2 linked regions of the Macaca mulatta genome follow. The protein of the gene in region 2 binds, or shares a complex with, the protein of the main gene of each other region. Links are inferred from orthologs where the notes say so. Each region holds a gene or a part of one and is shown on either strand. Other genes may lie near its edges.

Evidence for each region.
Region 1: STRN3 (region 2) and STK24 share a complex: the UniProt entries of both Homo sapiens proteins name them as parts of the core of STRIPAK complex. The link is inferred for Macaca mulatta from reciprocal best matches to the Homo sapiens genes STRN3 and STK24.

What each region holds. Positions count from the first base shown.
Region 1 is NC_133422.1:93,178,366-93,182,185, forward strand, and holds part of STK24 (serine/threonine-protein kinase 24), read right to left. Parts: intron 477-3,820; coding exon 368-476; intron 96-367; coding exon 1-95. UniProt on the Homo sapiens protein: Serine/threonine-protein kinase that acts on both serine and threonine residues and promotes apoptosis in response to stress stimuli and caspase activation.
Region 2 is NC_133412.1:104,028,700-104,032,519, reverse strand, and holds part of STRN3 (striatin-3), read left to right. Parts: intron 1-1,059; coding exon 1,060-1,200; intron 1,201-3,820. UniProt on the Homo sapiens protein: Calmodulin-binding scaffolding protein which is the center of the striatin-interacting phosphatase and kinase (STRIPAK) complexes.

The sequences.
Region 1 (3,820 bases), on a different chromosome or scaffold from region 2:
AGTGTTCCTTTTGATCTGGGTGTCCGTCAGCTGGCCGGCCACGCCAAAGTCCGCCAGCTTCACCTCCCCGTGCTCAGACAGCAGGACGTTGGCCGCTGCAAAAGCAAGCCAAGGGGGCCCTGAGCGGCGGGGACTTACAACTCCATGCACTGCCACAAGCGCGTCTTCTCCCCGGCTAGGTGTTGAGCCCAGTGAGAACAGGCACTGGGGGCTACACTTTTTGTCAGACCCCCTCAAAGCCAGCCCAGCCCAGGCAAGGCAAACGTGCAGGACAAATGGGTGCCAGCACCTTCCCTTGAGAAGGCTTCAGTGCAACCCCACCACCGCCTTCGGTATTTCAAAGGAATGAAAACAGACGTCCTCTTACCTTTAATGTCTCTGTGGATTTTCTTCTCCGAATGGAGATAATCAAGTCCTTTCAGTATTTCTCTTAATATAGTAGCGATCTGGGTTTCATCTAACGGGCCAGGTTCTAACTAAGAAGAGAAAAAATTCTTAAAGTTACTTAAATGATTATCTTATGAACAGTTTGAGATAAAACAGAAACACTATCCATGTTAATGGACAAGGGTAATTAAAACCTGAAATCTTCTTCACTTAAAACACAGGATTTTGCCCTAACAATTACAGTCCACTGACAGACACTTAAAAAACAAAGAGCCCAAGAAAACGGCTTTGCTGAACGAAGCAAAGCGGAGCCAATGAGGAAGCCCGCGGCCCCGCCTGCGCCTGCAGCTGACCACAGGACGCCCCACCGGCCATGGCACGGGCGGGGCACAGGCTGGGGATTTCACTCCAGGAAACAAACAGCCAGAGACTCACAGAGCAGCCAGGATCTGTCCCAACATATGTGGTTCCCTTATCAGAAGGCTCACCCCTGGGATCCAAAAACACCTAGGAACAAAGGCCTAGGAGCCCGGCGCCTCTGAGGATAACCTTGTACTAGAAATTTTTTAAATCCGCAGTTAAAGCTCCCCAACTTGGGGGAATGCAGCTGAAACAGCTTAAATCCTAATAGTTTGGGATTTGTTATATAATCGATATTATATAATAAAAATAATTATTATATTATCCCTGAGGTAATAATTACCTCTGTAAGCTTTTATTCTCAGAAACTCAAACTAATTGTTCCTACTGACTCCTTTATATCCACAACTGTACAAGACAAAAGGAAGAAATGTCAGGTATCCACATCTCCATTTAAAAGGAAAGGAAAACCAGGGTAACAGGCTCACTTCAAACCAGATGGGAAGCCCCGCCCCCGCCCCCTGCAGAGTGGGGCAGTCAGTCAAAAACAGTAATTCCACGGACGACAGCAGCAAAGCCACCGACGCTCCCCGGAACCACAGAAACGGAGCCGGACAGAGGGCAGATGTCAATACAGGCAGGTTCCTCCGAATCATGGTCCCCCATTCTTGGTTTTCAGGCGTGACAGTGAATGTCTTCAAAGCCCACACCCACACATTTTAGCCAACGGGAAGACACAATCTGGGGCCTTTCACTTAGTTTTAAAAAGATAAGTTATGTGCTTTAAGCCAAAGGGGATGAAAACTAGGGTGCTCCTCTGCGGGAAGCGTCTGACTGAGGCGTGCAGGGACAGACTCAGACTATCAGGGACAGACCCCGATAGTCCCCCTTGCATATCTCAGCTCCTTCACCGGGACATCCTGTTCAACATCCGGAAGGGCTTGTGGGGCGCAGGATGGGGGCAACCAAGACAGCCCTTGTCACCGAAACCACAGCCTGACTCACACCTGGCGCTGCTTTCCGGCTCATGGGTGAGCTGTGCTGCCTTGGCTTGCAGGCCCGCCCCGGTCTACACAGCAATCCCAGGGTCAGGGCCACTCTCAGAGGTGGCCTCTCCCCACACACTGGCCTCGATGCGACTCTGGCCTGCCTGGCAGTAGACCCAGCTGGAATCCAGCCACCCCGGCCTTCTCCACTCAGGACCCAGGCGCAGAGAATGCACTTGTCGCTTTGAATTTGACCTCACGCATATGCTCGGAGAAGGTCAAAATGCCCGTGTCCATCGCCTGCCAGGAACTGTCCCAAATTCCAATTAAGATATTGTCCAAAAGTTACCTCAGACTAAGACATTATGGCACAGACTCTGCTCCCCAGAACATAGTTTTTCCCAGTTAACTGACCAAAAGTCTTTTTTACAAGAAATGCATATCGAAACTACTCTTCTAAAGAACACCATCTGGAAAACCCTGCCTTGTGGTAAGTCTGTTTTCTCCACATCTATTTTTCGGTGTTCATAGAATATAGAAATATTGATTTTCAAAATGAGGAACACAGACTCTTCTCATCACCTGGGTGGAACGTGGGGAGGAGGGTAAGACGTAGGAGTGTTTGCTTTTGTTCCCAACCCTGAAGTGCAGGAGAATCCACTCGACCAAAGATCAAAGTCATGTGAGAGGCCAGGAGCGCTGGCTCACGCCTGTAATCCCAGCACTTTGGGAGGCCGAGGAGGGTGGATCACCTGAGGTGGGGAGTTCGAGACTAGCCTAGCCAACATGGTGAAACCCCATCTCTACTAAAAATACAGAAAAATTAGCCGGGCTTGGTGGCACATGCTTGTAATCCCAGCTACTTGGGAGGATCAGGCAGGACAATCGCTTGAACCCAGGAGGCGGAGGTTGCAATGAGCCAAGATCACACCATTGCACTCCAGCCAGGGCGACAGACCAAGATTCCATCTCAAAAAAAAACAAAAAACCAAAAAAAAAACAAACCAAAAGTCACACTAGAGTTGGGTCCCATCTCCCATCTCCCATCTCCCATCTCCTTCTTCACCAAGTCTATGCCCAAGCCAACAATCAATAACCTCTGGCTAGACCTGGACTTAACCACCCTCCCTTCCATTACCAAGTCTCCCGAAAGCAATGGCAGAGCGGCTGGCTGTCATCCCCAAAGGGCGCTAAGAAGAAGAGGTGAGGAACACTCATGGAAAATCCTCCCCTGGATAATTAAGGGCGGCTCTGTGATGACTATCTGCATGGTTCTGCCCTTTAAATCTGCCCTGAACACCATCCAACATTGACTCATATGCCCATGGGGAAAGAGGAGGAAGAGGAGAAAAAGAGATAAAACTCTCCTTTATTTGGGGAGAAATCCTTCCTGCATCAAAATCCACGATAAAGGGTATTTAGCTGTTGTCTACCCCAGAGTGCCTCCTAAGCAGCTCGGACCAGGCCAAGCTCTCCAAGTCATCGGCTGGCGTTCACCATCGTGACCATGCTCTCCATCATTCAGGCACTTGCAGACTCTTCAAATAGGACCCAGGAAAAAACCCTAGACTACATTCCACCGCTGGGTGACTTGTAACTTCCCCTCCCCGTGTCTGTCCTCCCCTGCTTCGAAGCTCTGTAATAGGGACTATCAGCTGGGCACACAGCCACGACAAGAGACCACATTTCCCAGACTCTAAGCAGCAGCCTGTGGTCACACAACTAAGACCTTGCCAGCGGGACAGACAGGAGCAAACGTGCCCCGTGCCCCTGCTTGGTCTTGGCCCTGAAGCACTGGCAGCGAGAGAGGACAATGGCTGAAGACCAAGGGAAGCCTGGGGCTCCAGATGGTGGAGCCACCCACCAGCACAGACCGTGACAGTGTGGGTCAGAGCCACTGGCCCCACGTGCAGGGGAGAAATGAATTTCTACCTTTTGTGAGACAATGTGTTAGAGCTAGTAGGATGGCAGCTTGGCCTAAACATTAATGAATATGCCATCTCATTTCTTAAAACCCATGTTGTGGACTCATTTTTTAAGTCTGTCAAACACCTCTGCCTAAGTGACTGGTTTATGCAGCACAGTCC
Region 2 (3,820 bases):
TATTTCCACTAAATTTTACCATCTAATTGTCTGGTATTTTGTTAAAGATACATAGATGGGTAATAGTTCTTAGAGTTACTTACACTCAAATAGCCACAGTGAACTTCACATCCATTAATGATGACGTTAGTAAATATAAGGTTATAATGTTTGACCTTGGACTTACCTATTTTATTTTTTTAAACTTATGTAGATTATAAAGCATTGTCTTTTCAAAGTATTTTTTTCTGACATTCTTAAAACTTGTTTTCTTTCAAAATATATGGTTCAAAATAATTCTGCTATTTCTAAAGTTCAGAGTTAAAGAATATTCTACAATACTACAGAAGCTTTTGAGTTTTATATGTTTTGGCCTGAATTATCCAGGCAACAGCCAAAATTCTTCCCTTACATTTGTGGCTTATGACAGTGCTGACTTTCATATCATGAGAAACTCAGAGATCTATCTCATGGATAAATCAGGTTTTTCAGATTTGGGAAAAATGAGAAAAACATTTTGGAAGAAATTGGGGATGATTTGTTAATGACAAATTTGTACTAACATGGCAGGAAAATATCCATGGAAACACCAGGTAAAGTTAATCGTTTGTTGCACCCTCATAAAAATTATTTGTACTTATTCCTTTGTTAACTTTTTTAAACAGTGAATTATGTTGAAAAGCCCTTATTTTATTCTTTATACTGGTAAATGTTAACCTTAAACACCAAAATTTTCCTTTGTTTTAATGATACCTTCTTTGTCTGTGAGTTTACAGAACTTTAAAGAACTGTCTCTAAAGTATTCTATGGAGATATATATATATCTTTAGAGAGAGAGATATATGTAATACATATATGTATCTTTATATATATCTCTCTCTCTCCACAGAAATAATAAATATTTAAACTCAATGTGTTTTGGGGGATGGTATAGAAAATGGAAGACATCTTTAATTTTCTGATATTTTAATAACTGAGACTTCTTAATAGTCTGTTTTGTTAATGAACTGGTTTTAGACGCTGCTGGCAAGTCAAGCGGTAGCCATTAAATGAACCTCTACTGCTGACATTAATTTACAGGGGCCAACAGGACAAAACTCTACGACATGATAGCTGATCTGGGAGATGATGAGCTGCCCCACATCCCTTCAGGAATCATTAATCAGTCTAGGTCAGCCTCTACTAGAATGACTGATCATGAAGGTGCAAGAGCAGAGGAAGGTACAGAATTTAGCTACCATGTTTATTTACATTTCAGAAGACCTTAAATCCAAATCACATCTTAATATTGCAACTAGGCTACTGTTTAAAATGTTGATGATCATTTTATATGATCTTTAGAGAAGGTGTTGGGCAAGCTCTTGATGTAATTAATTTAGGGATTTTGACATTTCTGGCTTCTATTTCTTCATATTTTGTTTTCATTTTTAATGTGAGGAGGAGTTGTTTCCATCATAGGTGAATTCAGAGTCTTTAATTTTAACTACAGATCCAGTAATGGGAAAATAGTAACTTACAAAAACAAACTTAAAATAATACATATGGAAAAAGCTGCTCATTTTGTCTTATTGCTTAAATTTAGCAGCTAATAATAATTACCACTTACTAGAAGACAACTGTGGTGCCAGGCATTGTGCTTGGAACCTTTTTTTTTTTTCTTTCTTTCTTTTTTTTTTTCCATGAGACTGAGTCTCACTCTGTTGCCCAGGCTGGAGTGCAGCTCACTGCAACTTTCGCCTCCTGGGGTCAAGCGAGTCTCCTGCCTCAGCCTCCCAAGTAGCTGGGACTACAGGTGCATGCCACCATGCCTGGCCAGTTTTTTGTATTTTTAGTAGAGACAGAATATTACCATGTTGGCCAGGCTGGTCTCAAACTCCTGACCTCAAGTGATCCGCCTACCTTGGCTCCCAAAGTGCTAGGATTACAGGTGTTAGCCACAGTGCCCAACCTGTTACTTTAAATATGTATTACTTTAAAAAATATGTGTAACTGTTGCCTCAATTAATCCTTTGAGAATAAGGCAATATCATTATTCTTTAACTTGGTAGCAAGTATATGCTACCTAGTAATGAATTTTATAAAATTTGCCTAAACTAGAAATGTGTAGGAAATGAAAGTACTACTTAAACGTTTTTTCCAAAATTGATTTTGGCCAAAGATATATAGGTATACTTGAATCATTTATAACTCTAAGTCTAGATGTTTATAAGTATTGAATCTGAGTTTTTAACCAAAGATTATTGTGACATACGAGATACAGTAATTTGGCATATATATTAAATTTCATTGATGTTATTGCCTTTGCTGTGTAAAGAGGATTTGTTTGATGTCCCAGTCAAAAAATTTTAAATGCATCTTGTTCCCTTTTAAGATTTCCCTAGTGGCACAGTTTCCTTACAGTTAAATAATTTTGCATTTTTTTCCCTCTCATAATTTACCATTTACTTCACTCACCTTAAAAAAATCACTAAAATAACAGTCATTCAAAGCAAAATGAATGAAAAATAAAATAGTGTCTGTTAATTTTTTCAGATCTCATTTCCACTATTGAGATATATTCCTGTTTTACTTTAGAATGAAAAATAAAATAGTGTCTGTTAATTTTTTCAGATCTCATTTCCATTATTGAGATGTATTCCTGTTTTACTTTAGAAGTATTTTCTAAACTACACATAGCAACTCCATTTTTTTTTTAATGCATTTAGTGATGATTTTGCTTCATTTTTGGTCTGTTTTGCCAAATATGCATAGCACAACTTGCTAAAATTTTTGTAATTAATGTACATTTAAACTGCAAGTTTTGCAGTTTAAGGCAAACCCATGTTAGCAGTGTGAACCCTTTTAAATGTTTCAAACCAATGACTTATGGTAAAAGCCAATCAAGGCACACTCTACACAAAAACCAGCTTAGAGCTCTCTATGTGTGTTTGTTTATGTGTTATGTGTGTGTTTTAAAGAAAGAATATAGGTCAGTGATCTGTTTCTTGATGCTGGGAGGAGGGCGAGGGGAGAGATTTGATAAATGTGAACTTCATTACAGTTTTTGAAGTGTCGATCTTACTAGAATTTGTTATTTAAAGAGATGTGAGTTTGACTTCAAGCTAAGAAGGCAGCTTTGGAGTACATAATCTCTTTATTTTCAGTGGCACTGTCCAACTTACTTCTTTACTTTTGAAGTCCATGTCCTACCTCATTTTGTAAAGAACAGTGTCTGTTTTCTAGGAGTGGTACTTCAACATTACAATCTTCTAGACTGTTGTTACTAAAGACTTGAGACATATCACATTGCCGCTGGTATAAATGGAATCTGTAACCTGGACTAAGTTCTTGGGAAAAAGAGTTCAGTATGTGAGCTACAGGTTTCCTTCATGATAAGTGTCCATCAAAAGGAAGATTAGTTATAAAAATCTGAAAAAAACCTTGTATTTTATAGACCCATTATACTAGTATTGTTATATTACTTGATGAAATCCTTCTTAGGCCTCCTAATAAAATGTCTTATAATTTCCATCATTAAATTAAAAACTAGGCCAGGCATAGTAGCTCATGCCTGTAATTCCAGCACTTTGGGAGCCCAAGGCAGGAGGATCACTTGAGCCCAGGAATTCAAGACCAGCCTGGGCAACATAGCAAAACCCTGTCTCTATTAGAAAAAAAAAAAAAAAAGATACCAAAACTAATTTTTTAGGCTGGTTAAAATAATTATATTTTTCTTTGAATTACTAATGACATTTTTATACTATGGGTAATTATATTACCATTAATAAAATGAATTTTTAGGATAGAAATTAATTCCATCTGCAGGGAAATAAGGGTAAACAAATGAGTAGCTGCTGGGATT